Linked DNA regions of Diceros bicornis minor. The protein of the gene in region 3 interacts with the protein of the main gene of each other region in a biochemical or structural test. Links are inferred from orthologs where the notes say so. Each region holds a gene or a part of one and is shown on either strand. Other genes may lie near its edges.

Evidence for each region.
Region 1: of the proteins of MAPK3 (region 3) and SREBF2, one has a biochemical effect on the other in vitro, tested with the Homo sapiens proteins (2 studies listed by BioGRID). The link is inferred for Diceros bicornis minor from reciprocal best matches to the Homo sapiens genes MAPK3 and SREBF2.
Region 2: of the proteins of MAPK3 (region 3) and PTPRJ, one has a biochemical effect on the other in vitro, tested with the Homo sapiens proteins (2 studies listed by IntAct, with this or other methods). The link is inferred for Diceros bicornis minor from reciprocal best matches to the Homo sapiens genes MAPK3 and PTPRJ.
Region 4: of the proteins of MAPK3 (region 3) and PTPRB, one has a biochemical effect on the other in vitro, tested with the Homo sapiens proteins (2 studies listed by IntAct). The link is inferred for Diceros bicornis minor from reciprocal best matches to the Homo sapiens genes MAPK3 and PTPRB.

Annotation. Positions count from the first base shown.
Region 1 is NC_080764.1:8,684,427-8,691,543, reverse strand, and holds the start of SREBF2 (sterol regulatory element-binding protein 2), read left to right. Parts: upstream 1-4,113; 5' UTR 4,114-4,236; coding exon 4,237-4,324; intron 4,325-7,117.
Region 2 is NC_080770.1:22,581,632-22,589,493, forward strand, and holds the start of PTPRJ (receptor-type tyrosine-protein phosphatase eta), read right to left. Parts: upstream 3,013-7,862; 5' UTR 2,895-3,012; coding exon 2,634-2,894; intron 1-2,633. UniProt on the Homo sapiens protein: Tyrosine phosphatase which dephosphorylates or contributes to the dephosphorylation of CTNND1, FLT3, PDGFRB, MET, KDR, LYN, SRC, MAPK1, MAPK3, EGFR, TJP1, OCLN, PIK3R1 and PIK3R2. Plays a role in cell adhesion, migration, proliferation and differentiation.
Region 3 is NC_080765.1:21,907,649-21,914,505, reverse strand, and holds the start of MAPK3 (mitogen-activated protein kinase 3), read left to right. Parts: upstream 1-3,843; coding exon 3,844-4,016; intron 4,017-5,049; coding exon 5,050-5,232; intron 5,233-6,857.
Region 4 is NC_080756.1:953,852-961,529, reverse strand, and holds the start of PTPRB (receptor-type tyrosine-protein phosphatase beta), read right to left. Parts: upstream 3,013-7,678; 5' UTR 2,998-3,012; coding exon 2,943-2,997; intron 1,761-2,942; coding exon 1,365-1,760; intron 1-1,364. Other genes in the region: PTPRR (receptor-type tyrosine-protein phosphatase R), read right to left, coding at 4,740-4,833. UniProt on the Homo sapiens protein: Plays an important role in blood vessel remodeling and angiogenesis. Not necessary for the initial formation of blood vessels, but is essential for their maintenance and remodeling. Can induce dephosphorylation of TEK/TIE2, CDH5/VE-cadherin and KDR/VEGFR-2.

The DNA.
Region 1 (7,117 bases), on a different chromosome or scaffold from region 3:
CCACTGTATGAACAGACAAAGAGAGGGCCCCAGTCTTACCTGTCTTCACCTCTGCCGCATCTGGCACCTCCATCCTCCTGGGCTCTTCCTTCAACACCTTCAGCCTCGCCATCTTGGCTGATCCCTTCCTCTCCGCCCTCAAATGGGCCCAAGTTTTCCCGTCTGACACCTTCAAAGAAACAAACAGAGCCACTCTGCTCTCCCCTTCTCCTTCCCTTTGCTGCCATTGTTGATTGTTGTGGTCACTTGTTCTCGGAACTCCACCGTGAGTCTTACTACAGGCAGAACCTGCCCACTGCCCCACCAGGACCTATAAAGGCCTGAGGGCACTTCTTTGTCCAGCCTTCTTGCAGCTAGGATTCGGTTCTGTGACTGAAGCGCCACCAACCAGATGCACCAGCTTGTGTGGGAGTTGTGCTGGTTGGAGGCAGTGGCAGCACTGGGGGGATTCTAGTGGCCAGACCAGCGCCAGGGGTGCCCAGTGGTGGCAACAGTGATGTCTTCACCGTGGTCTTGGACGTTGTTTCTGTCTACCAGGCCCAATCTGAGGCACCCCTGGAGAGTCGGGGAGTTCCCCAATATCCTCTAAGGCGGGGTTTCTCAACAATGGGCACTATTTACAGCTGGGGCCAGATAATTCTTTGTTGTGTATGTGAGGAGGGCTGTCCTGTGTGTTGTAGGATATTTAGCAGCATTCTTGGCCTCTATCCACTAGGTCCCAGTAGCAATCTCTCAGTTGACAACCAAAAATGTCTCCAGACATTGCCAGATGTCCCCTGGGGGTAAAATCTCCCCCGTCCACAGCCCTTTTCCCTCCTTATCCCAGCCCCACATCTTCCTCTGCAGTCCCAGGTCACTGCCCTCAGAGAGGTGCTGTTTACAGCTCCTCCCCCTTGAGATGAGCCTCCCAGGCTTTGGGCCACCTGTTGTCCTCATTCTCTACCCTCAGTCTGAGTCTGTTCTAGCTTTTCCTGATTCCTCTTTCTTCACCTGCCCCTTAAATGAAGAGTTTTTTAGCTTAGTCTCTCCTCTCTGCTCTTTTCTTGGCGACTGCATCCTCAGACCCCAAAGCTGATGGCACCTGCCCTGTTGCCACCTGATAACCCTCAGTCCTTATGTTTTAGCTTATCCAAATCATAACTTGTTATTTTCCACCCCCAAGCCTCACCTCTGGATTGAACTGTGGGGTACATGCTCTTGCTTAATCCTGGAGGAAGTGACACCTGAACTGAATCCTAAAAGATTGCGGGAGGAGGGAGGAGACAGGCACTGTGAGCAGAGGCCTAAAAGGGGAGGCGTGAAAGGTAGTAAATGAAAAAACATGCCAAGTTCTCTTCTGTGACCTGTAGTCAGTGCCCACTCTGTGGTGGATGTCTGGACATAATGGTCATCTAGTCCAATCCTACCCTTTTCAGATGAAGAACCCAGGTCCTGTGGAGTGACATGTCTAAGGCTGCTCCACCCCTGAGCACCAGCCTCTGTTCTCCTGGCCAGGGCAAGTGCTAACTGGAAGAGATGTTCAGTTAGGTGGTATCCAGGGCCAGAGGGAGAATGTCAGTGTTCTGCTGAGGCTAGGTCTAGTGCAGCCATCTTTCTTGCACAGTTTCTGCTGAGCCTTCATTTGTGTCCCCTCAGGCCACTTTGGTCCCTATTGCTAGGCACCACAGCCTCTGGGGCAGGTTCAGGCGGGAGCCGTGGGAACAGCTGCAGAGTGGGAGGCTCTGTGCCCACCTTGCTCCTGGTGCTCGGGCAGCCCTCAGCGGGGGGTTACTGAGGCTCTGGTATGGGATGGGAGGGCACTGGACCAAAGTGAGTCGTATGGTAGGCCAGCAGACAGTCACCCTGCAGTGTGGGGAGCCCTGTGAGAGCCACTGAGGTGCAGTTGAAGATGGCACTGTCCAGCTCAGTGCTCAGTCCAGAGCAAGGCAGCAGGGTTTGGTTTTCTGTTTCAGGGTGAGACTGGTATAGTCTACGCCAACTCTCCTGCATGTACACAATGAAGAGAATGTTCTTGCCTTTTTTTTCCTCCAAAAATAAGACACTTCCTTATGTTACACATGTTCATTATAAAAAGTAATTTAGGGGCCGGCCTGGTGGTGCAAGCGGTTAAGTGCACGCGCTCCGCTGCGGCGGCCTGGGGATCGCCAGTTCGGATCCCGGGAATGCACCAAGGCACCGCTTGTTAAGCCATGCTGTGCCGGCGTCCCATATAAAGTAGAGGAAGATGGGCACGGATGTTAGCCCAGGGCCAGTCTTTCTCAGCAAAAAAGAGGAGGATTGGCATTGGATGTTAGCTCAGGGCTGGTCTTCCTTACCAAAAAAATAAAAAATAAAAAGTAATTTAGACAATACTGAAATGCCAAGAAGAAAGTAAAATTCATCCTAAATCCCACCACTCCCATAACCGTGACTGACACTCAGCTGTTGGGGCTTCTTTTGCCCATCATAGAGCACGTAGATCCCTATTTTTTGGATAACGGTAGCTACCTTATATGGGCACTTACGTTATGCCAGGCCTTATGCCAAGTGCTGGCTGGCAACAGCTCCTTCTGCCTCAGGGCCTTTGTCCATGTTGTCTGTTCCCCTCGCTATACCAGACGCAGTTCTCTCCTCATAATTTTAGGTTTTATGTTAAATGTCAGAGACCTTTCCTGACATCCCAAGTCAGGTTCCTGGTTAGTTTCACCACAGCCTTACTTTCCCTTGATCATTTGTACCATTATCTATTATTTATTTTTGTTTTTGTTTAATGTCTGTTTTCTTCACTAGACTGGAAGCCCTCAGAGGGCAGGAACTGTCTTTTTGCCACAGAGATGTCCAATAAATATTGTCAGAAGAATGTGCAATCTCATTTAATCTTCTCAACTATGAGGGGGCACTATTTCCCCGTTTTAGAGGTGACAAAACTGAGGCTTAGAGCAATTATGTAACCAGCCCCAAGTCACACTGCATGAGTGGATCCATATGTCTGCCTCCACACACCTGTGCACTCTTAACCGCAAAGCAACAGCTGCCTCTCACAGACTGGCAGGAAACACACTTTTCCTTTTTAACAATATATTGTGAAAGTCTTTGTCAATAGACATACATTTATGTAGGTAATGTTTAACGATGCCATGGTATTCCATTGTGTGGATTCATCCAGTCCCTTATTGGGCTTCCCAATTTCTCCCAGTTACAGAGGATTTGTGATGGCCATCTTTGAACACACATACTTGTGCACTTCTTTAAGCACTCGTACATTTTATTCCTTAGGATACATTCCTAGAAGTTTGCATATTCGTTTACATCTACAGCTGCAAGATGGGGCAGTGAGGTGCTTGAAGGAATGGGAATCCGCGGGTGGGCTGCGCATCAGAGTCCCTGCAGAACTTTATCAAAATGCTCGTGCCCGGGCCCCACCTCAGGAGGCCTGTGGTGGCCTGGGTAGCGGCATTATTTTGAAAGTCTGCAGGCGGTTCCGAGGCACCAGGGCGAGAACCGTTGGAGCATGCGCGTCGTCGCGGCAGGTGCAAAGGCGCAGAGGTTGTAATATGCGCTCCGCACTTGGACAGTTCGCGGGCAGCGCGGAGCCTCTGTTTCCGCCTTTGTAAGGGGCTTGGGAGGAACGCGACTCCTCTCAAGCACTGGGGTGGCCAGGTTTGATCCTACCCGCTCTCCCTGGCGGGCAGGCGGGGGTGGGGGGGGGCCGCTGGGAACATGATGTAATGTGCTTACAACTTGCTCCGGGGGCGACCAGGGGGCGGGGGTGAAGCGTATTAACCCTTCAACCCCTGGCCGGTGGAGGGGGTAGCTTGTGGAGCAGACCCAACGGAAAACGGAGCGGCTCCTTTAAGTTAGGAGAAGGAGGTTGGGCTGAGGACCTAGAGGGTTCTCCTTGCTGTCGCTACTAGGCCGCGAGGGGCGGGGCCTCGCTATGCAAATCTGAGCTGCTGATCGATGACGCGCCATCACCCCACGCGCCGCTTCGCGCGCCGATTGGCCACGGCGACCCTGGTCCCATTGACAACAAACAAGGGGGCGCGCGGCCTGGGGGCGGGGCCGCAGAGGGCGCGGGTGGGGGCGGGGGAATCCCGCCCCGCCCCCTCCCGCGCGGCGCAAACATGGCGGCGGCTGGCACCAGCCGGTGAGGCGGTACCGGGCAGGGGCTGTCGGGTGTCATGGGCTGTGGCGGCGGCACCGCCCCCGCGTCTCCCTGAGCGGGACGGCAGGGGGGCCTCCGCGCCGAGCCGGGCGATGGACGAGAGCGGCGAGCTGGGCGGTCTGGAGACCATGGAGACGCTCACGGAGCTGGGCGACGAGCTGACCCTGGGGGACATCGACGGTGAGGAGTGGGTGGGTGGGTGGGAGTGCGGGGGCGCGCGGGGAGGAAGGGGTTACGGCGGCGCGCGCGGGTGCGCGTGCGCCCCCCCCCCCCCCGGCGGCCCCGGCTCGCGCGGGAAGAACCAGCACATGCGGTCGCCCGGGCGGTCCCCAACCTGTCCCCGCGCTGCGGGTTTGGGCCCCCGCCCGGCAGCTCCGCTCCGCAGGCCGTGGGATCCGCTCCGGGCGCCGCGTGTCTGGAAGCGGAGCAAGAGTCGTGGGGCCGGAGCGCGGAGTCGGAGGCGTCGCGGGGGCCCAGCGGGAGCGGCCTGAGGAGAGCGCCGGGCCGCCGCCCCCCTCGCGCCGCCCGAGGTCCCGCTGCCCCGCCGTCCCGCGTCGCACCTGTCACTCCTCGCCCGGGCGCGGGGCAGCTTTGGGATTCCCGGGACCATGGCCTCAGGCTCCGCGCTCCCACCCCTGGTCTTCCTGCGGTTGACCTATGGCTGCGTCTCCCGGTGCTCGGGGAAACTTTGGGCAGCGAGGGGCTGTAGAAGCAAGTTACTGCTGAAGCGAGCGGTGGCAGCGGAGTGTGGACGCATGTCTCCGGGATGGAGACCCGGGCGCTCCTGCTGTCGCGCTACAAAGGGAGTCGAGCAGCAGGAATTTCGAGTTGTGGCCCCTCGAGGACAGGCTGGGGAGCGGGTGGCCTTTGTTCTGGCGACCTTAACAGCGGAGTGGAAGAGCTAGAAGGAGCTCAGGGATCCTCTCTTCCAATGCTCTCATTTTGTCACCATGGGAACCCAAAGTTTGGAGAGGGTCAGCGACTTGCCCAAGGTCACCCAGCTGGTTGCAGAGCCCAGTTCCTGGGCTAGTGTTGGTGTGGCTACATCAGGCTTTCACTTGACCCCTGGGGGTGAGGAGTCCAATGAATAGGTTAGTAATCATAATAATAACTGTAAATAGTCGGGCTCTTCTGATATTCTAGGCCGAGATACTTTCTGTTGTTTCACTTATTCCTCACTACAATCCCATGAGATGGATATTCTTATTGCTCCTATTTTACAGGAGACTGAGGCTAGAAGATGTTAACTTGTCTAAGGTCACTCATCTTAGATTGTCCAGAACCCATGCTGTTAAGCAGTAACTCAGGTGCATTGTGCTCTTGAGTTTACAAAGTGCTTTTATGTCCAGGATCTCACTACAGCGTTGCAGCCAGATATGATGGCTACACCTCATTGTACAGATGAAGAAAGGAAGGTAGTGGAAGATTCTCTTCTTGAGGAAGAGATAAATGGCAGCAGCTAATTGAAAAGGGTTCCATTTTCCCATTTTGCTTCTGTAACATTTCACCCCTTGGCCTGTCATTGCTTACCCTTTTTGGTCATCTGGGCAGTGTGGTAAGACCCTTAATTGAAGCCCCAAGTCTAACCACAGACTTTTCCACTAAGTGCTCCTAAATACAGAGATGTATTAACAAATGGAAGAGGAAGGTTCTTGGAACTTAACAAGGGCAGCTAATATGTTTTGAGCACTTATGTGCCAGGCACTGTGTTAAGCACTCATGCACATTCATGTTTTCAATCCTAGGGTTGAGAACCACCATTATATTATACAACTCTCATAGGTCCTGAAACTGAGGCCCAAGGCGGTTCGTTAACTTACCCAAGGTTACACAGCCAGTAGAAAGTATGTCCAAAGCTGCCTACCAGCAAGCTCACACAAAGAAATTCTTGTGCATTGTGCATTCCCGTTCCATAATCTGTGTGTATTTGTCTTAGTTGGCAATATGTTAAATTACCTACTGGTTAAGTGTTAACTTTATCCCCATAGATTTCTGAGTAAAATGTATGTTCTGGAAACTACCACAATGATTCAGTGGCTTCACAGGTCCCCATATCAGATTTTGGAAAAAGTGGCTCCTTGTCTTCAATTGGTCAAAAAGTGTTCAAGTCCCAGCTGTGGTTTCTCAGCTGTAGGGAACATGAAAGATAGGAAAGACAGAATTTTATGGCCTCATGGAGTTTGAGATGAATAACAGTAAAACTGTAGTGCTAAGTGTAGAACAACTCACAATTGCTCAGAGCAGTAAGTGCAAGTCCGCACTGAGGGAGCTTGGTAAAGGCTGGCTTACCAGGAAGGCCACATTGAGGAGGTGGCCCTGACATGGGCCTTGGAGGACAAGAAGGGTAGGGAAAGCTGAAGGCCAGTGGTCTGCAGATACAAATATCCTTGAATACTTCCGCATCCATTCCCCCTCCAGAACGTCAGTTCCATGCAGGCCAGGGCCTTTGTTTTGTTCATGCTGTATTTTTTGCACCTAGAACTAAATATTTGTGGAATGCCTGTGGAATACAGCAGGTCAGGCAGGGTTTTAAATTGTGTTAGACACAGCCCTTGGGGTTGGGTTAGATCAGGAGTGGCCAGCCAGTGTGCAAAAAGGAGCCATTCAGGTGAGGAAGAAAGGACCCTGGGTATGAATACATATACTTCCTTTGTATGTTGGGGGGGGGGTGGGGAGGCGGTACTTACAACCTGCAGAGCTCATGTCTACCTCCAGGGGGTCCAGGGTGGGCAAGAATCCATTTGGCAACATCTGTCCTGCTGCAATCCATTAGTGCCCTTGGAGGGTATGGACCCAAGGAAGCCATATCCATTCACTCATTCAGCACATCTCGTGAGTGGCTTCTAAATACCGCTATGATGGACAAAGTACTGAGGATAACTTTGAACAAGATAGACAAGTTCTCTTAAGTTCTTGGAGGAAACACAAGCTAAACAAATAACATAAACACACTTTTGGCAGGGCACTATGAAG
Region 2 (7,862 bases), on a different chromosome or scaffold from region 3:
ATGTTTTAACCAGCTACAGTTGATTCCATTTTAAAACACACCCATACAGGAGCCAGCCCGGTGGCGCAAGTGGTTAAGTGCACGCGCTCCGCTGCGGCGGCCCGGGGTTGCACCGACGCACTGCTTGTCAAGCCATGCTGTGGCAGCGTCCCATATAAAGTAGAGGAAGATGGGCATGGATGTTCGCCCAGGGCCAGTCTTCCTCAGCAAAAAAGAAAAGAGGAGGATTAGCAGATGTTAGCTCAGGGCTGATCTTCCTCACAAAAAAAAAAAAAAAACACACACACCCACACACACTCCAAGCTTCACAAAAGCAGTCAAGTGTTAGGGAAGTAGTCAGATACCTTCACACACGTTTGTTAAATGCACGAACTTCAAAAATCTCAAATACGATTCAACTTTGAAAAACAATTTACACCCACAGTTTCAGGAGTACGCAGTGAAGTAGGACGCTGTCTATAGTTAAAAGTAAGAGGAAAGTGAAAACATGACCAAAAAAAAAAGCATCATGAAAATATTAGGCACAAGTAGGCAACGCACGGTCCAGTCCCTTGCGGGGTGATCTCAGCCCCACCACTGTCTTGTCTGGGCCTCAATACCCTCATCTGAAAAAACGAGAGGTTTGAGCTATCTTGGAAGTCTGCTCCAGCCAAAAATGCACTGATTCCCTGAAATATCCAATACCAAAATAAACTGTCAAATGTGGATTCTGAAAATGCTTTTTCAGAGAGCCTTTTAGATTTCCTATTTTATAACGTATCCAAAAACAAGAAATAAAGAGTCCTCGGGTTTCTACAGAACAAGTGAGAGAGGAAGGAAATATCTGAATAGGGGACAAGTATAGGGTGGCAATATGCTACTGAAATACGAGGAAGGATTGGGCAAGAAATAAATTTACCCAAGAAATTTTTCGCTGATTCAAAGCATAGCTAGCAACTCCCATGGCTGGTGCAAAAACATAAATAAAATAATGTAATAAAATATATATGTACCAAATTAAACCAGAAATAAATGAAGACCACGTATTTCTTCAGCACAAACTTTGGTACAAGAGATCTTCAATTACGAGGCAATTTTTTTTTTTAATCTCACAGACTGCTCTCCATGAATTTCCTCACAGAGAAGGGGAGAAGTCAGTCCACGCACACTGTACCTTAACGATAATCACATCTGGACACCCTTCAATGTTTACAAAGCTCCTTCAGGCATCGGCCAGTGGAAGCCCTTCAAACAATTCTACGGGGCAGGTGGTGGTACACCCATTCTACAAATGCTGTTCACTGAGGATGGAGGGGACTCAAGAGCAAGTCCAACCCTGAAGCCAGGCCTTAGAGCTAGTCTTCTGACACCCAACCCAGTAGTCTCTGCAGGAGGTCACACTGCCTTCCAGGCCCTCAGGAGAGCCTGTTCAAAGCCTGCTGAGGAAAACTGAGGGGACCTTAGAGGCCAGAGCCACCTTGGGTGCTGAGAGTTACCTCAGCCCGGGGGACCCAGCTCTCTCTTCTCGTCCTGCCTGCTGGCCTGCATTGCTGCCCCAAGGCTGCCATTTCTGCTCTCAGACAATCCTGTATTTGTGCTTGAAAAGTTTTCCCTGAAACCAGGTTCCATCCCCAGCCAACAACTCACTTCCCAGGTTTCACACATCATCTCCTGACAGCTGCTGTCTGTACAAAACAAGCAAGATTTTCATTGACAACATGCACAACAGAGGTATCGCCAGGGCACTTTACAGCGCGGGTTCAAGACCCTAGCAGGCTCCTGGAAGGCTGCGAGGACGAATCCGCTTGCTCAGCCCCGGTGGCAAGGGCTGGGTGATTGATTCTGCTCTTTCACTTCTCTTCCCTCAACTTCCCTATCTGTGAAATGGAAACATCGCCCAGCTGCCCGGCCTCACCGCCAAGAGGAATATCATTAAGGGGAACCGGCGCTTGCAGAAAGGTCGGTCACCAAAACGCCAAACACAGCATTATCCGAGAAGCGAAGCTAGAAAACCGGGCGGTGGGGGGAGCGCCGGCGCCCACAAAGCACGAATTAAACACCCGGGGAAGCCAGCAGCTTCTCTGGGAAGGTGACGGGCCCGCCTGCTGGGCCATCTTTTCCCGGGGCTGGGAACTTGCCCCAGAGCAGTGCCCTCGGCCCGGAGGCCCTGTGCCTCGCCCACCGCGCAGCCCTGCCCTTCGGCCCGGCCCCTCGGGCCCCTGCAGGCCGGGTCGGAGGTCGGCCAGGCCGGCTCCGCTCCGCGCCGCGAGCCCTCTGCAAACACGCCCCCTCCGGCCGCCTCGGGCGGGCGAGCGGGCCCACGCCGGCCAGACGGGACCAGCCCCGGGAAGCGCCGGGCCAGAGACGGCCTGGAGCCGCGCGGGGGCTTCCACGGGGACGCGATGGGCACCCCGGGACCCCGATCCCGCCGCCCTCCCTCCGGTCCTGGGCAGCCGGGGAAGGGGCTCGGTGGCGGGCGTGCGAGGCCGGCCGGGGTTCCCGCGAGCCCCCTCCAAGACGGGGGCTCCGAGGACTCGGGCCCCTCGCTACCGCCCCCGAGCCCGGCAGGCGGGGCACACCGGGCAGGTGCAGGGGATGCCAGTCCCGCCCCCACCCTCACGCCCCCCCCCCGCCCGGTGCCCCCGGCGGCTCACCTGGCCCAGGCGCAACAGCAGCAGCAGCGGCGGCAGCGCCCAGCGCAGCCCGGGCGAGCGCGGAGGGGGCCGCGCCTCCCGCGCCGCCGGCTTCATGCCCCGCGCGCCCTGGAACGTGCCCGGGACGCGCGAGCCGGGCCCCGCCGTGTGCCCGAGCCCGGGCGCCCTCGTCGCCGCCTCCAGCCGCCGCCTCCGCCTCCGCCTCCTCCAGCCCGTCCGCCTAGTCCCCGCTCCGCCCGCCCCGGGCTTCCCCGGGGACATGGCAGCGGCGGCGGCGGCGGCTGCCACACGGCGGAGCCTGGCGCGGCGGCCGCGGGGGGGACGCGTCCCCGGGCGCGCAGGGGCTTCGCGGGGCGGAGCAAGCGGCGCCCACCCCCCGCGCGCGGCGCCCTGATCCCGGCTCCGGCGGCCCCGGCGGCTCCCGCTGCCTCCTCCGCGCGTCATGCGGCTCGGGCTGCAGGGAGCCGCGGCGAGCGCTCAGCCCCCTCCCTTCCCCCTCCCCCTCTGAATATTCATCGCTTCCTCCCGCCCGGCCGGCCAGGCGGCTGCAGAGCGCCGCGGCCCCTCGCCGCCCTCCGCCGCAGCCCCCGCCCTCGCCGAGCCGGCCGGGAGGCGGGGAGGGGGCGGCGGCGCGCCCCGCGCGCGCCCTGGAGGCTCCCCTCCGGCGGGCAGAGGAAGCGCCCGCGCCTCGCCCGCCCTCTCCGCCCAGCCCTCCCACATTCCTGAGACTTGGGACCCAGGACGCGGCTCCGCTGTTCTTGCGCCGCGAGCCCGCGCGTCCCCCTCGGTGCAGCTGCCCAGCCGCGGCCTCGCTCCTTGGCCCGGGTTTGGGTCGCCAGATGTTGACCGATATTCCTGCCGAGGAGGGCACAGCCAGGATTGCATCTAGGCAGCAACCCAGCAAAGGCCTGATTGACCAGGCCGGTGGGTGGGCTCGGGGATGCATGAACTCCTAAATTGTAGGCGAGATGCTGTGTGTTGTGTTCTCCCCGCCTCCATCCCCGGGCCAAGGAGGCAGAGAGCCGGCAATGGAGCGGGTCCAGAGCTTAGGACTCCAGCTCCGGCAAACTGTAAACCTGCCTCTGCTAGTAGTACTAGCTGTGTGACCTCTGGAGAGGCATGTCACCTCTCTGGGCCTCCTTTCCTCATCTATGCAATGACTATAACACTAGTACCTGGCTAGAGAGACGTGACTGATGATTATATGAGATGATGGGTGGAAAAGTCTGTACGCACCGGGCCTAACATACAATGGGCCTCAATAAACATTAGCTCTTCTGGCCGCTTTCATCATATTGTCAAAGAAGTCCACGAACCCGAAAGGGGTTAAAGATTACCGCCAAGGTTACTACTATGCCCACGCACAGAGGAGGGGACGGAGGATCCGGGAGGCTAAGCCAGTTGCCCAACGAGAAGTAATGAGACACAGGGCCGGGCCCAAGGAGTGGTGGGGAGGGAGAGATGCATTCCAACCAGGAGGAGAGGTGACACCTGAGCTCGGCTTTGAAGGATGGGTTGAATTTCACCAGGCAGATGGGGGCGGGGGGGGGGGGGGGGGCAGCGTCTCAGGAAGTGGGAGCAACTTGGCAAAAAAACAGAAGGCAGGTGCTTCGGGCTTGGCCTTCTGAGAAGAGGGAATGAGAGGTTGTGGGGTTCATGTTTGAAGGAGACTTTGAATAATGAGTTTGGGCTGGATTCTATGTGCAGCAGAGTGCAAACCACCGGTGTTGCAGACCTCCAGGGTGCAAACCTCCAGGCACCCCTTGTACCTCAGTTTCCCCATCTGAGAGATGGAAACACACCCTCACTTAAAGGGTCTAAGAGGATCCTACCAGATCACACACACAGACAAGCTCAGAAGGTAAGGGGACCTCGTTGACTTACACACCTTGCCACCTTTTGTTTAAACATGCTGCAATTATCATAATTCACAGGGAATTCCGTTCCTCCGCACCTCCTCCGCTTCTTGGGGCAGAAAAAGGTAATTTGAAAGGCTTTTGGGTCCATGATGCCCAGAGGGAAGGAAGGCCTGACTTCCTGCAGTTGCTACCAGGTCTGCATGCTGCCCCGGATACTCGCAGACCCTACAGACCCCACAGATCCCTCCAGGCCTCCACAGCTTCATGGCTCGGGGCTGCAAATAACTCTGGGAACTTCAGCATGCACTTTTTCTCCTGGATGAAATGTGTGTCCGCACTGGAGTGTTGGTTGGAACCAGATTTCCCCATCACATGGTGATGAAAGAGAATAAACAGTCTTTTCTGTAAAGGGAGCAAAGACTTGAATAATAGCCTACCTGTTCAGTCATAAACAGATCACACTGGGTTAATGAACTACATGAGAAATGAAATTAAGCCAGAGCAGGTGTGGTGTAAACTCCCTGAGGGCAGGGATCCGGGCTTCCTCCCCCAGGTTGCCCTACAACACCTCACTCAGGGCCTTGCCCATGGCAGGAACTCAGTATTTGTGCAGCTGTGTGGTTGTATAAATGTATGGAGGGTTACCAGGATGTGAAAGGTCATTTTCACGCAAGGATAAATTAGGGAAGGATCATTCACTTTGCAAAAGGGTTTGAGACTAGATTCCAGTTTACAGGTCTCCTCCTCAGATGTCACTTCCCCTAGGACATCCCGGATCCCCAACCCTGAGTTGAGTGTGCTTCCCCTTCCAGGCGCTCTGAGCTCCCTGTGCTAAACTTATCTAACCACAATGTTGTACTTACCTGTTTATTTGACCATCTTCCTCACTGGACTCTTAGTAAGCCCCTTGAAGACGGGCCCTGCTGCTTGTTTATCATTGTATCCTCAGCACATAACAGTCACTCACACAACATTTATTTAGTTGAATTGAATGCATTCCTTTGACTAGCAAACCAAGGCATTAAATATGTCCCCGCTCTCACACACTCACGCATACACCCCACATTTTATTTACAAACAGCTTTTTGGGGATAAGTCCACTGTGCAAATTTCAAGGCACATTCTCTTTGACAATGGATAATGATATTTGACCTTTTAATCATGTCCACCTTCTAGCAAAAGCTATGGGGCCAGGTGCACAGAGAACAAAAGAACCAACCCAAAAAGTTGGAGTGGAGGGTTCCCGGATGAGTTCCAAAATTACCTGATAGGAATCACCCGGTGCCTCATTAGAACATAGATTCCCATGCCTTTCCATAGAGTGCAGAAGTCCTGGGAATCTGTATTTTTAACCAGTTCCCTGGGTAATTCTTACTGTCAAGCAGGATGGGAAAATGCTGTTTATCCTGTGACTGGCCTGCATTGTGTCCCTGATAATAATAAAGACCATTGATCAGGTACCTGCTAGGTACCAGGCACAACTCTAGGTATTTCATTATTTCTACTCCTTACAACAACCCTGTAAAATAGGTATCATTATCAATATTTAGAAACAATGAAACTGAGTCTCAGAGAGGTTTAGTTACTGACACAAGGTCACACAGCTTCAGAGTGGCAAAACCAGGATCTGAAACCGTATGTTTCTTGCCACTATGCCATGGAATCCCTCTCTTTGACGTTTGTGGATAAGTTAAGTGCTCTATGTGTTGGCTGTGCGGCTGTTATTATTACTTTTATTATTACTCTCCTGGGCCTCAGTTTCCCCAATTTTAAAATGGGAAGGACAGAGGGTACAAGGAACAGGGAACAGGCAAGGCAACCGGGTTTAATGACACGTCCACCATCCCACCAGGAGGGCAAGCCTGCTGGGCACCGGCCTGGAACCAGGTCATGAGGCCCGCAGGGAGTCCATTCAGCCTGGCAACCCTCAGTTTATTTTAAAAGCCACCATGAGCAAACCATTCCCCAAAGCCCTCTTAAGCAGAATGGAATGTTTCTTGGGAGTCTGATTAGCTAATGTTGCAGGCATGGCTGCCCTGAGACCTTCCTGCCTCACGGACTTGAACTGAATCAGAATGGAAAGGAAGACTTCTAGAAAGTTCTTTAAAAAAAAAAAAAAAAGGAGCACTTCATCTTTATAATAGTAACAGGATGTTTCCCGTGGACTAGTAACTGGCCTGTGGTTAGAACTCCATGTTTGTCCACCAGACCTCAGTTCCTCCCCAAACAGTGCCTGAATCACCTGCCCATGCACCAAGCCAGGGAGGGCCTTGGCAGTGCTCTTTTTGTTTCTGGCTTCAAGTACTCGCAACATTAAGCATTTTCCTAATTCTTTTCTCTCGGGTGTGGCTGTGGGTGTGCGCATGTGGGTTGAGATGGGAAGCAAAGTTTGACTTTGCAAGAAACAGTTGCATGTGACAGATTTTCAGTGCAGGAAAGAAAGCCACCTGAGGGTCTGCGAGCGCAGAAACGGAGCCCTTGATCTCAAGAGTCCCCACCCTTTCCCCAAGTCGAGGCACCCGCAGGGTGAGCCCGCTGGCTTCTGCGCTCCCAGCTGTTAGGGCCTGAGTCAGGTGCCAAGTGAGCCCAGGATCTTCATGTTCTGGCAGGACAGACCCAGGACCCAGGATCTTAGGGTACCTGGAAACACAGGGAGTGTGTGACAAGGAGACTTGGGGCCTAGGGGACAAGGGCTTTTGTCCAGGGCTTGAGAACGACTTCTGCACAAAGACCACAAGTGGCAGGCAGGGGGCAGGAAGCAGTCAAGCTTGCAGCAGAAACATCATCTCAGACAAAGAAAGGGCTGAGAGGTGTAAAGACGAAAAGAGCGAGAGTGAGCAGGAGGGCCCAGAGTCCCAGGGCTTCTCAGCAGCTGGTCCTTCCGGGCTCGTTAAAAACAAATTAATTTTTTTCAGGTTTGAAAAGAAATGTTCCTTTTTTTTTCAAGTTGGAAAAAAAATCTTAATCACATTGTGCTGGATGTATCGAACACCTGGGGCCCGGCAGTTAGAGTAAGAAATCAACTTGGAACAATGGTGCCATGTGAAATCCCGCTAGTCGGCAGAAAAATACCCTGCCATCTAAATAAGCAAATAAAAATCGTATATGGCAATTATGTTATATTATGTATAATATTATGTTAAATTATGTTAACATAATTAACATATGTTAATTACATACAATTAAATTATGTATATAAATGATGTATACATACATGGGTATGTATATATCATAGTAGGTAGATAGATGCCTGAGCATTGCTCATAGCAATAAAGTGTAGAGGGAGAAGCATGGACTCTGTAGTCAGCTGCCTGGGTTCAAATCCTGGTCCTGCCACTTATTACCTGTGTGATTTTGGACAAGTTACTTA
Region 3 (6,857 bases):
TACAAACCTCATCAGAGCTGTTTTAGGCATCTCTGAGGAGGAAAAAGACTGAAGGAAAGGTGACTAGTCAGTACAATAGTAATAGCATAATACAATAGCAAAGTGAGATGAGGAATCTCAAGGCAACGTCAGACAAACCCAAACTGAGGAACCTTCTATAAAATAACTGACCTGGCCGGTAATCTTCAAAAGTATCAAGGTCATGAAAAACAACAACAAAAAGACTAGATCAAAGGAAATGAAGGAGTCATAACAACTAAATGCAACAATTGACCTTGAATTGGATCCTGAACCAGAAAATGGAGATTAATGGGAAAATAGGCAAAATTTGAAAAAGGTCTATAGATTAACTCTATTAACGTTACTGTCTTGATTTTAATAATGTACTGTGTTTCTTTAAAATGTTAACATTTAGGGGGTGTTGATGAAAGGCATACAGAAATTCTTTGAACTATTTCTGCAACGTTTTGGTAAGTTCTGAAATTATTTAAAAAGTAAAAAAAAAAATAAAAACATGAAATTTGGGTTTGATGAATAGGAGAGGGGATGGGTTTGGGAAATATGTTAATAAGATGACAAGAAGTTGCCTAGATCTGGAGAGAAATGGAAAAATGAGAAAATAACAGGGTTCAACCCTGCAAGAATGGTGGCAGTCCTGAAGCAAGTCGAGTCTGGAAGAGAAACAGGTTTGGGAATGAAAAGGAAGACTTTCATCGGGCATGCTGATTTGATGTAGCAGCTAGCCTCCAAGTGAAGCTGTCCAGCAAACACTGAAACCTTGGAACCGGAACTAGGGAGAAAGGCAATGGCTAAGGATGGAGATTTTACATAAAGGAAAAAGGTGACACCACAGGAATGTGATGAAGTGACTAAGGGAGATGCTGTAGAGAAAGAGGCGTGAGAAGGACAGCCCAGGGAAGGAGCCCAGTGGGGGCAGGCAGAGCTAACCACAGAGATTTCAGAGGAGGGATCAGCTGAAGAATGCTTACACCAGAGGAGAGATGTTTGCGCAGAGCTCTTCTCCAACATATGAAGAAGTGTTACGAGAAACGTGTAAGAGAGGTATTTTGGATTTTAAAAAAAGGTCAGCTTAAATCTTAATAAATTATTAAACATGTTCTGACCCCTATTCCTGCACATTTGCTGCCTTCTCAGTTTCTGCTGGCTAGTTGAGTTAGTCGAAATGGGAATGTTCATTTGTACCCTTCAAATTGTTACTCGCTTGTGTTATTACCCACTGGCCTCTCTTGTGAACTTGACGTCACAGGTAAGAACTGGCTTAAAACTTAGTCTAGATAGATCCAGAGGCTGGAGCTAAGCCAAATAGAAATGGGAAAAACTCTATCATCAGAAAAACTCTAACAATGCAGTGAGCTGTGAGGTAATGAACTGATGGAGAAAATGATTCCTAGACCTCCTTCCAACCCCACAGTGCAGCAAGCTTCTGCTTTTTTTGTTGTTGTTTTCTGTTAAATGTTCATGGTATCTACTTCATACAGCTGCTGCGAGGATGATAGGAGATAAAGTACATAAAAGCGCCTGGCACAGAACAGATGTTCAGTCTACATTAGTTGCTTATGAATCTATGAAGCGGACTAGGAAATCCGAGTCCAATCTCCATGGAATTACCAATCTCAGCCACTAGAGGGGAATCTCAGTCACACTCCTTTGATGAGACAGCTACAGCCTGAGGCAGCAGGCACCCCGCCGGATACACCAGCCTTTCCTATGCCGGGAAACTCACTCCCACTCAGGAAACCTGGCTCCATGCTGAACTCCAGGGTGTTTTCTCTGAGTCACTATACTCTGCCACAGTTGCAAAATGATCTGGCAAAAGTCCCTCAAAGGTTTGTACTGCTTACTGAGTAACATCCAAACTCCTCGCCAGAATCCAAGGCCTTCCTCAATCTGTCTCCTTGCTGCTCATTCTGTTCCTTCTTCTCGATGCCTTTCCTCTATCCTGACCTTCTGAAACCCTACTTCTTTTTCAACCACACAAATCCATCTCCTCCATTACTCCCTCCTCACTCTTTAGAGTGATCTAACCCACCCCTGAGCTCACATGCCATATAATACATCCATCTATCTTGTATGAAATTGATTTATGTATGTGCATCTTTTCTCTTCAATAGATTAGAAATTCCATGAGTAGAGAGGCCAGTGGGTAACCTGACCAGGGTAACACAGCAAGTAAGCGGCAAAAATGGGAGTCTAACCCAGGCAATCTGGCCCAGAGAGCTCTTGCTGTTAACCATTATTTCACACTATATAGTAATCTTTCATTAACCACAGTGCCTAGCTCAGAGCTTTGCACTCAGTGCCATTCAGGAGCTTACCAAATGAATAACTAAAAAAAACAACACTGATCTAATTAGCACCTCTTCAACCTTCACTGACTTATGGGCTATTGGGAACCAGCAACTCAGTCTCATTAATCTGAATTAGAGTGCCTGGCCATAGATCTAATTATGAGCAATTTCAGAATCATAATTACTGTTCCATTTTGTCTCTTGATCTGTAATGTCTATAAGGACCTACTCCCAGCTTCTCAGGGAGAAAAAAACAACATGATTGCTTACTGAAGCCTAGGAAATGTGTTTTTGTGAAGCTTCCAGCTCACATCTTCACTGTGAGGTAAGGGGGATGGACTGGATGGTCTCTGAGGGCCCTTTCTTCAGTTTTAAAAGTCTATAATTCTGAGACAATGGAATTAAAAAGAGCCCTCTGCCTCTGTGTCAGGAGATATCATTTTGAGTCTCATCTCTGTCATTATTACAGTGATCTTACCCAAGTTCGAGTCCCCAACTCTGACTCCCCATCCATAAAACTTGATTCATTCAAAATTTTTGAGTGTCTGGGTGCCAGGCACTGGAAGATACAGTAATGAACAAAACAGACATGGGCCCTGCTCATCCAGCTAGGAAAACCAGAGGACACCTATATTGACGGGCTGTCCTAAGGAAGAAACTGAAGATCAAAGTATTGTGTAAACTATAAAGTCTAGTACAGAATCAAAAGATGATGATCTTGACAGGATTCCAGTTTTGTCAAATCTAACCACAACAAAACCACAACCTATTTTGCTCTTTTTGAGAAAAGCCTGATACTGTATTTTAACCAAAGCCAGTCAACTTGGCATGCAGCTCTCTCGCCTCTCCCCCGCTTTCCATGTAAAGGTAGGGTGGGGTTATCTGTCTTCGGGGTACTCCCGGGGTACATGCACGGCTCGGTTGCTGGCAGAGGCCAGGTCCCTAGCGCACTCCCGCAGGTCTCTGTCCGAAAGCCATTAGGCTGGGTTCTCCAGCTCTCAGCTGTCTGAGTGACTCCCAAGTCACCAGCGCCGGCTCGGGCCTCATCTTCCTCATCACAGGCCACACCTGTGAGGAAGCCCTCTCCCACAGCTACTGTGAAATACGGATAGGATCACTGAGCATCAGAGGTGAGGGTTCCCTTAAGGTTCCATCTCGAGCCCGGGGCTGCTCCTTGGGCGGGGCCAGGCGCCCCGGTCCTAGCACTCGCTTGCTGGGTGGCTCTGGGTAAGGTCACCCAGCGGCCCTACTGGCTGTTCTGCATTCTAGGGGAGGGTCTGGACAATCTCAAGGCGGCCCTGGGAGCTTCTAGCTTAAATGGAAGAGCCGGAGCCGCCGGGTACCATGAACCACAGCACCAGCGGCGGGAAAGCCGGGCGCGCAGGGCCCACGTGACGGGCGCGGGGGCGCGCGGGGGCGGGCGGGGCGGGGCCCGGCGCGCGCGGCTCCGCGGTGACAGGGCGGGCGGGAAGGGGCGGGGCCTCGGGCGGGGCCGCCGGGGGGGCGGCGGGCGGGCGGGAGGGGAGGAGTGGAGATGGCGGCGGCGGCGGCGGCTCAGGGGGGCGGGGGCGGGGAGCCCCGGGGAGCTGATGGGGTCGGCCCGGGGGTCCCGGGGGAAGTGGAGGTAGTGAAGGGGCAGCCGTTCGACGTGGGCCCGCGCTACACGCAGCTGCAGTACATCGGCGAGGGCGCGTACGGCATGGTCAGGTGAGGGGGCGTTCCGGGGGAGGGGGCCCCGCGGGAGGGGGCAGGGAGGGGTGCTGAGTGCTCTCTGGGCCGTGGAGACTCCGAGCGTCCCGAAGAGGCAGGGGCTCCAGGGGGCTGGAGAGCGTCCCGGGGCGATGGCTTCTGAGTGCTTTCGGGGGGAGGGGGCGCAGTGTATTCGAAGGAGAGAGGGCCTGGGGGCTTTGAACCCACTATTCTAGAATGAAGGAGGGCCATCTGAGTACGTATATGTGCGGGAGCTGTGGGGACCTTGGGCACCCTATAGACACGGGGTGAGGCGAAGAGAGTAAGTATTCTTGGGGAGGTAATATCCTTAGTGAAGAAGGAGTGAAGGACCCTTCTTTGGGGAGAAGATGCCTTGGTTCCCCCAGTGAGGCCTGCCAAGGAGTTTGGGAGAGAAGAGCGGGGCTCAGGGTGGGGCAGGGCTTTGGGCCTGGGGCCAGGGGCCCAGTGAGCAATGAGCAGTCCCGGAGTGCCTCCCTGCAGCTTCGAGGAGGGCTCTGGGAGTTGTCCCAGCCCTGCTGTGTGCTCTGGGCATTTGTTCATCTGGGAACAGCTCTGCTGCCCAGGTCCCTCGCCCTGACACCCAGGCCTGCCTTATCCCTTTTCTCCAGTGCCTCCTGTGACTCCCTCCTTCTCACTGTATTTGCCTCACTGTATGTCCTCCACTCATCTCCCACCCCCTGGACCTGTCTTGGGATGAGGGAGCCCATCCTGGGCAGGGGAGGATAACGGGTCAGGGCAACTAGAATGGAAATGGTTGAGGAGAGGGGAAGCCAGTGGTCGGTCAGTCTCTTCCTCTGTTTGTGAAGTCACTGAAGGGCTGGCTGGCTGGTCCCCAGCTTTCTCCCTGGAGATCCCAGGCCTTCACAGCAGGAAGGAACCAGCATTGTTTATGACTTGGCCAGAACCCTCTCTTGCTCCCTTCTCTCCCTGCCAAGGCCTGGGTGGGGCCACCGGGCCTGTACTCCTCCTTTGTAAGGCCACACCAACAACATCTCTCTGGCCCTCTCAGCTCAGCTTACGACCACGTGCGCAAGACTCGAGTGGCCATCAAGAAAATCAGCCCCTTCGAGCATCAGACCTACTGCCAGCGCACGCTGCGGGAGATCCAGATCTTGCTGCGCTTTCACCATGAGAATGTCATTGGCATCCGAGACATTCTGCGGGCGCCCACCCTGGAAGCCATGAGGGATGTGTATCCTTCACCTTGGCCAGATGGCTGGCCAGGCACAGCCTCAGAGCTGGGCTGGGAGAACATTGGCTTTCTTTCTGTTTCCTTCTTCCCTACCACCCTCCAAAACAAACCCAGTAAAAGAAATTTTCCAGCAGAAAAGAGGCCACAGAGTGTAAGAGGACCAGGAGGCCTCAGATGAATCCTGGCCTGCTGCAGCCATGCAGTGTGGCCTTGGGCAAGTCTGTTCTCTACGCTCTGCCTCAGTGGGGGGCTGGGCAAGATGGTATCTATGGGAGCTTTGTCTTCTGACATCTGCAATTCTGTGCTGGGAGCCAGCCTCTGCCCACAGTCAGTTCTTGTTTAACAGATGATGATTCTTCTCTGGGTCCTCAGACTGGAAGGAAGAAAGCTGGCCTTTTTTGAGGGCCTACTATGAGTCAGGTGCAGTGCATGCCAAGTGCTTTAACATCTCTTATTCTACCTCCCAACTGCCCTATGAGATGGGTCAATCAGCTCCATTTCAAAGATGAGGACACTGAGGCTCAGAAAGCCTAAAATCAAGTGCTTCTGTTGCTGCCTGCTCCCCTCCCCCAGATGAGAACCAGTCCTTCTTTCTCTGAGACTTCCTGCTCAGAACCCCACCCCAATTACCTGTGGACTTGAACCTTGCCCAGGGAGGGACAACCGTGCCTTCATAGCCCTCCCCCCATATCGCTTTCCTAGTGTATTGTCCGCTTCCTGCCTGGCTGTTAGCACCTTTGTAACACCCGCCACCTCTCCCCCACCACACCCTACCCCCCCCCCCAGTCAGTCCCAGTCCTCCACCCAAGACTGGGGATTTGTAGCACAGTGTCTGCAGCCCCTACCACAAACTGTGGGCAGGAAATCTCCACACTCACCCCCAGCTTGCTGTGTGACCGTAAGCAAGTCACTGCATCTTGCTGGGCCTCTCATCTGTAAAACAGCAGGGTTGGTCCAGTTCTCAGAAGGCCCTTTTAAGGCTGATTCTAAAGACAGTCCTGACTCATTCTTCCAGACACAACCAAATGACATTTATTTACTTATTTATGTTTAATCTTTGTTTTATCCTAAAATATAAAAGGACATTTACTCCTCTATCTTCTGATGTATGTCCAAGCACTCTTTGAGTAGGAGTGTGCTCTTGGGAGTTTCTCCTCATATGTCTTGCACAAACCATTCCCATAAGGCAGGCATTTATTTTAAAGCAAACATTTATTACATGCCAGATGATGTTCATACATTATTTCATTTAACCTCAACAGCCATGTGGCTCAGGCATATATAACAGCAGTACTAGTTCTTGTTTGCTGAGCGCTTACAACATGGCAAGCAGGGGCAGGCTGCTTTACACGGGTCATTTCATCTAATATTCACAACCACTCTAAAGAACAGTTCTTCCCCCTGCTTTACAGATGAGGAAATCGAGGTGCAGAGAGGTTGAGGTCACGAAACCCATGAGCAGTGGAGTCAGGGTTTCAGACACGCAGGTCAACTCCAGAACTACTGCTTTTAACTGGGCAGTTCTCCTGCCTCCCCCACTTTATTAGTCCCGTTTTCCCAGGAGAGAAACTGAGACCACAGAACTGAAGCGCTTTGCTCAAGGTCACCAGCTGAGGTACATCAGA
Region 4 (7,678 bases), on a different chromosome or scaffold from region 3:
ATAACGCTCAACTTCTATTGTAGAAGAACCCGCAGCATTCAAGTGCATCAAATTAAATCCTTGGTTAATTTATGAAACGAATGAATGACAGAAAACTGTCCGAAGATCAGCATGGTGGAAAGACTCATATAGGCCTCAAAAATCAACACCTGATTAGAAAAATATAAAGGTACTGTGGATGCTGATCCACAAATGGGATCATGGATCAATATTATCTGGGGATCTTTTTAAAAAACATCAAGTATTATGCCCAAATCCAGATTTCTTGAAACAAAGTCTCAGAGGTGGTAATGGGGGAGAAATGATGGGAACGATTCCCTTCCCACACCAGGCAATTCTTACGTGCCCAGCTGGGCAGACGTCTGTGGTCAAGCATTTGGGAAACACTGTATAAGGGAGTGGACCCTGGACAAGGAGCTAAGAAGTTGGGTTCTAGTCAGACCCGTGCCACTAAATTATCTGGGACAAGTCACCTAATCTTGGCAGATTTCAGTCTCCCTAATGAAGGGCTTCATTTCTAGATAATTTCTCCAGTGACATGTAAGGTCCGTTGGTATCTAATATATAATATTCTGTTAGTTTTATCTTTCTTGACTTCCTAAAGCAAACCTCTAATAGAGAAGTAAATAAATAATAAAATGATTAAATAAAATAGAAAATTAAGCTGTATCCACAAATAAAAATTCCTAGCACAGGTCTGAACTGTGTGGTGCACCAGGAGTTTGTGTGCCTGTATACAAGGTCGACACCTGTCTACCATCTGGGTTGTGTCCATCATGGTCAATGAATCCGAAAACTCTGTGGCTGCACATTGGTTCTTACCATTTCAAAAGTATGTTACCTCCAAAAGATCTCTACCCCTAAACATTAGTACAAGAGATTTGCAAAAGCACTGTTTATTATCTTTCTAGTCTTCTCAAGCACCGTCTTGGTGTTCTCATAGCTCCTCACAATCAGAGAAGGAAAGTGTCTACATCAGCAAAATTATTAACTTCCTGTTCAGTGGCTTTAGTCCTTCCACATGTATGCTGTGTTTGTGCCCTGGCCTGTATTCCTACATCTAATAGTACTTAACCAAAGTGCCTCGTGTCTGGCACAAAAGAGAAACTCAAGAAATATTTGTTGAATTAATAAAAGAAGAAAGAAGAGAAGGGAAGGAAGAGTGAGAGACAGAAAGAGAAAAGTTGGGCTTATTTTAACAAGGGTAATGGAGTTTTCCACATCAACAGGTAGCACACACCCCATTTCCATTAGCTTGTGGATCCTCCATAGCAATTTGTTGGGGCATGTGGATTTCCCCTGAATGTGAAAAACCAAGACATTAGGCAGAACTTTCAGAATTGATTCTGAAAGGAATAGCTCACCTTTTTTTAAGCAGAGGCTTTCATTGACTGGTTTTCCCTCTTTGTCGACGTCTATTTTCATCCAGCTATGGAGGTATTTCCTGCCTTTCTTGACCACTACCTTGAAGCCTTCTTTCTTGAGAAACAGAGAGGCATTTTCCACCTGGAGGAACCCTTCCTGCTCGTAGCAGGTCCATCGGGGTGCCTGGGAGCAGTGGGCAAAGATGGCCGGTTGGGAAGGGCCCTTCGTGGAGTTGGAGACGCCCAGGCACAGCGCAGATCTAACATTAAGGAGCTTTCCATCCTCCGTCCATGTCCACTGCTGGTTCTGGCTGGTCCCATTGCAGAAGCCCACGGCAACTATCTTATTTTCAAAAAGGCACTGCTGTTTCTGGACGTGGACAATCTGAAACCCCTCTGGAAGATGAAAAGCTCATAAAGTACCATGTCGCAAATTGCCAGGCCCCCAGAAAACAAAACAACCCACCCACAAATCAGCCACACAAAATGCCGGGTTTACTCATTTTCTGCCATTGTTGTCATTTCAAGTGAATATTCCAGACTCAACACGTGATTGAAAATCCCATGTAAAAATGTAAAAATGTCCAAACGTCACACTTAGCTCCCTTTCTTTTACTTTCACGTGGTTTTGGGAAGAAAACACACCCCACCGAAATAAGGAAAGGGAGATTGGAAAAGAAATGAAATCACCCAAAAATATGGTGTGATGTTTTAGCCCAGTTAGTTAAATAGGCTGAAGCCATGAAAAGCCCAGTTTTGACTTTACTTTTCCCATCTCACCTCTGCCCCTACTAGAAAAAACACCCTTTTCCCAACTCTTAAGTTAGCCTTGCAATAAGTATTTGTATACAAATGGAATGGTTTGAACACAAATTTAAAAATTGGATATACTTATCCAAAAATAAAACACATTTTCCCACCCCTCTAAGCACTACTTCGTAGCCAATCAAAGTATTGATTATCACAAACTAAATTTCTTTTAGTCCTGGAGAGAAGCATTTCTTTATTTTGTGACAATGTCTACAGTTTCTCTCAAATACTAATAGATTAAAAAATCAGCTTTTCTCAGGGTAAGAAAATTAAACATCCAATTGTTAAACATCAGTATTAAAAAGTGGGATATTCAGGCTCAGAAACTATTTTCTGAGTTTTACTTAATTTTCCCAGCTCTCCCATGAAAATGTTCAGACTTTCCTTCCAAATAACAAAACACACCCCAGTTCTTCGCCCCTTTAATTATGTTTCTTATACTTTCTTTCTTTAACACAAAAGAAAACAAAACTATAACCCGGCTGGGGAAAAGCCTGGAGCGTGTCACAGACTGTTGGATAATAACAAAAACCGTCTCCTCAGGTCCCCCCTCTCGGCTGTCCAGATGCCATTTTAGGAGCTGCCCGGGGCGCTGGGGCCTGAGGTGTGGGCAGAGCTGGCTCCTTTTATCCCCCTCCTCATTGTCTTGGGCTAAACTGCCATGGAGACTTGGCTCCATTTCCGCCTTCTTCCAGACTCTTCTCAAAGGACAGAGGCTCCTCCGCGGGCGCCTGGAGGAAGACAGGACACCAAGGCGGGCCCACTCACCTGAGTTCCTGAAGAGCAAGCAGGTAAGAATCGCCATGTAAAATTCAGCCTCCATTTTCCACTTAACAACTGCTCATGCTTCGCTTGGGGGGAAAAAGATTTTCCCAGATAAGAGAAGCAAAGTAGAGGAAGGAAATCCTTCGTGGTGGGGAGTCGGTGACGAGCGCTTCCTCCTATTGAATTGTGGGGGAGGTTTACACCACTGTCCTTCTGTCTGCTTCCTTAGAAAGAAGGGATCCTGACTACCTCTCTTGTTTTATGTAGAAAAATTCTAGCCTCCAGGAGCAGAATAAAGCTCATAAGTTTTCTCCTACCATGCCTCTGGCTTATGGCTACTTGTTAACCTCAAGAGGGAAGAAAGGAATTGTGATCTTAGATAACTGAGTGTTCCTACAACATGACACCTCTTCAGGTGATATGATTCTGCTGAATAAACACAGACCGTGTACTTTCTGAGGGTCTCTGACAAGGGATATAAAGACACAGACACGAGCTGTTGGTGTAAAGATGTGCTGGGAGTCTGTCGAGGAAGACCGCACAATGACGGCACTTCTGGGTCCTTATCTCTCAGCAATAACATTACGTTTTCAGATAGTCATCTCCACTGGGGAGAGGCAGAGACTAAAATTAAACCCACCACATTATCTACTTCAGGCTTCTCCCAAAAGATAACAGCCTCTATCCAAATAGGAAAAAAAGTAGACGCTTTACTCAATATTTAGTATTAAGAGTAGTTTATTGGCAGTATGAAACAAAGTCAACACAGCTGCATTAAAATTCATATTTGAGCAGAACATCTAGTGTTGCTGAGGGTAGTTTTTTAAATTTTATTTGTCTCTTGAGGATTAAAACCTTTCAGAAATTTAAGGATGTGCATGGCAGCATCCTTTTGAAGAACCTCTGGAAATGGGACAGGTTACATCATTCCCAAAGGCTCCCTCTGATTGGGAGAGACTCCAGGTAGACAGCATATTCAAAAGTTTCTCCTTAGGAAAAGAAACAGGTGTTTAAAATTCTTGATACGTCGTAGTTGCTACAAATTTGTTTTTCCCTTTGAAGGTGAAATGACTCACAATGAGAAATACCTTGGGTAGAGTCCCGGAGCAGAGGCCACCTGGAGGCCCAAGGATAGAGAGTAAGGACATAGACACCCAATGACAATCGTTGTGCTCTTGGTTGATTGACAGGAGATACTGATCAATACACTTGCAACAGGGCATATTATCAAGACACATTTCCATATAAAATAGTTACAACTTTTGATCTTTTTTTCAAAAACAAGGACTTATTTGTTAAAAATCTGTCATCAATTGCTTGCACCTTCAGTGGCAAGACTCTGGTAACTGAGGAAGGTGACAGCACTGGGGACAGGGGCGTGACTGGCTGACGTCTGTTCATAGGCAGGTTTGCAAACACGGAAGCGTCTACACAGACAAGCATCCTCTTTCCAGCAGCTCTTCCCGTTGTCACCGGACAACACGTGTCACCGAGCATTTCATACACACACTCTGTGTGGCAGGTGTCAGGACACAAAACAGAATCCTGCACAGCTGTGTGAGACATTGTCACACCTCCACCAGCTCGGGACGTCCATCATAGCGTGGGGAGGCTCACGAATGCACTCACATACGCGAGGGCTGGCAATCGCTAATATGTTGCCGTTTTCCACAGTCCGTGCTGCAGTGTGGCGTCGGGGCTTCTCCTTCCTTCCACCTCAGGAAACTCCTTCTAGAAGCCTCAGGTGGGTAATTGATTCCTCACCCCCAGAGATGGACGGTCGGGCGAATCTTCAGAGAATCACTGGACAGTTTCTGCCGAAAGCCGGCTCTCGTACAGACAGAGAGCATGGTGCACAAACTCATACTGCTCACTGGTCTGGACCATGCCGCCCCTGCAGGGAAGAGATGACACGAGAAGTTACTGCTACACCCCGCAAGCTAAGGGACACAGAGACCACGTCCAGGCCAGGTTGTCGTGCCCACAACACACAGCAGTGGGCCTGGTGACTCTTGCCTGTGTCCGGATGACCCAGCTGGGGGACTGGATGTGCTGATGTACGTACGGGCTTAACACAGTGCTGGCACACAACAGCGTTTGGTCAAGTTCACCTGCACGCCTTCCCAGGGAGGCTGTACTGCGCCCGATGGTGAAGTGTCTGGACTTTGAGCCCAGCCAGGCTGCCCGAGTTCAAACCCTCCCCTGCCGTTTGTTAGCTGTGTGACCATGGGAAAGTTCCTCCATTTCCTCCTCTGTTCAGGTGGGGTAATGCCAGAACCTACTTCACAGGATCGTGGTGAGGTTAAATGAATTCACGCATCTGGAGTGTTCATGGTACTTCTCAGTTGCCTTGTCATGCATCTATGTTAAAATGGTTTGTGCACCTGGATTAAAATTGATTGAAGCAGGTTTACCACCAAAACTCAGCTGTGAAACGTCACTCTTTCCACAAGTAAAAGGCCACCACCTGGACTGGTCTCTTTGAGCTCGTTGTGGAAGCAGCCCAGCCTTGGGTGGGGTGTGCTCGGTGTCCAAACACAGTAGCAGGTGGGCCCTAAATGAGCTGGAAAAAGGGAATCGGCTCTGGTTTCCTCTTGTGGTCGTCATTGTGGTCACTAGTTACCCAGCACGCCTTTGTTACCAGATTGGTAGAAGGCAGCTGCCTGCATGAGAAATGATGATGCTTTTCATTATACTTTTATAGATAAAATACCTGTATTACACCTTGCTCTTTATAATGATGGTTCTTCTACTTGGCAAACCTACTAGACGCTAGTATGAACGTTACTTATTTTTCCTGCTCACTGAGTAACAGCATCACTGTTAGTAACAGTTGGAAGTCCTATAAATATAGTCTCCACAACTCTGAGGTCATACAACCAATTTTGAAACTGTTTTAGCCAGTTCTTCCTAGCGGCTGTTGTTACCACTCAAAATAATTTTTAGACCATATAAGCACTTCGACTTAAAAACAAGATATATTGCCTCTTTGTAACATAATTTCTGGTTAGTGGTAATAACTAAAACTGAATTTGTATCTGCGTTTACTTGTCAATCTCTATAAATATAAGCTTACAAGATATTAAAGCAGTAAGACTTCATCCTTCAAACTAAACCAAGCAGTCGACATGATGCCAAAATGATGTATTTTGCAAGAAATAAAGATGTAAATATGCAGTTTTTGGTGATAGCAACTTATTGGCAGAAATATTTCATTGTTTTTTTTTTTCCCCTAGAACTGTACAATTTATTGTTCTGAATGCAACTTGCTGGCCAACGTGTTCCTTGGTCATAAGCTGACAACAGAAATGGCCAGCTGAGGATGTCGTAACTCTTAGCTGGAGGATGAAATCTGGGCACACCTAAAAACATAGCAGGTGTCCGGAAGATGCTGGCCTTGACCGTGAAGCTGGGGAGATACACCCACGGTAAATATTAGGGCAGCTCCAAGGAGCTCAGAGGTGCCTCCCTTCCTCTGGCATTCACACAGCTCAGGGGATCGTCCGTCCTCCCCCTTGAGCTGCAGACAGTGTGTGGAGGCTTATATGTGCTCCATCCCACGGGCTCTGGTCTGTGGACTTCCTCTCGCCCTTTCTCTCACTCTGAGGCAAGATTTTCCCTTCTTGTCTGTTCTGATGAGAACTGGTATTTATAGGTCCAACTGGTGAATGAAGGGAGATACAGTCTAGGTTTTAATAACTCAAATGGGCGAGCAGTGAATTTTAATTTTACCCCAGATGGGTGAGTAGTGAATTTTAATGTGTGGAGTGTATTCACTGTGACTTTCTGTTAACTAAGTTAAGGTTATTTCAGCCAATAAAGGTGGGGAAGATGGGGAAACAAACTCATTGGTTGTAGCTAGCAAAATTCTTGCTGGTCTGAAGGCTCAAGAAAGGTATGTGAAAAGTTATATCACTTCCCACTTAATTTGGAAAATAAAAATAAAGACTTGGCGTCAGAGGGATCCTCAGAGATCATCTATTCCTGTCTCTGACAGAATGTAGTCTTTCTAGAAGGGAGCAGCCACATAGCAGATGGTCAGCTAGCCTCTGCTGGAATGCTCGTGGGCGAGGTACCCTTAGAGCCCGCCTTTCCCAGAGTTGGCAGGAACACCTTTGAAGACATCAAAATAAATCTGCTCCTCTCCAGCTGTCACCCCATTGGTCAAACTGAAATAACCCAAAAAAGTCTTAAGCCTCCTCTTGTAGTTACACAATAGCTCTCTAAACACTGGAAAACAAGCATCAAAGTCCCAAGATCTTCTCTTCTCCAGACTAAACATCCTGTGTCCACTCAGCATTTCTGTACAGCCTGGTTTCCCTGTCACTCCTCCGTCTCGTCTCCCTCTTCCCTAGGTCATTTCATCAGCTAGGACCTTCTTGGAGTGTTGTGTCTACTCCCGAGGGGATCTCGTCAGCGGGAATTTTCTCCCTTGAGCTACATGTTACAGGCCAACGAGGCTGCGTTTGCCGGCGCGTCGGGTGGTAAGACCCCACAGGGCCTAGCTAGTGCCTGTTGCTCAGCAAGCGTTTTAGGATACTGAGTGAAGGTTTAGGTTAATGAAAAAGTCCACAGGATTTTTTTGAATGTGAAAATTACAGCTCTCTTCCATTCTGTACTTATGCTATTGAATTTTTGAAATTAAATGCAAGACCTTCTATTTATTCCTATTAATTTCAACTTGTTGGTTTCAGCACAAAGTTCTTATTTACTGAAATCACTATTCCTATCATTCACTA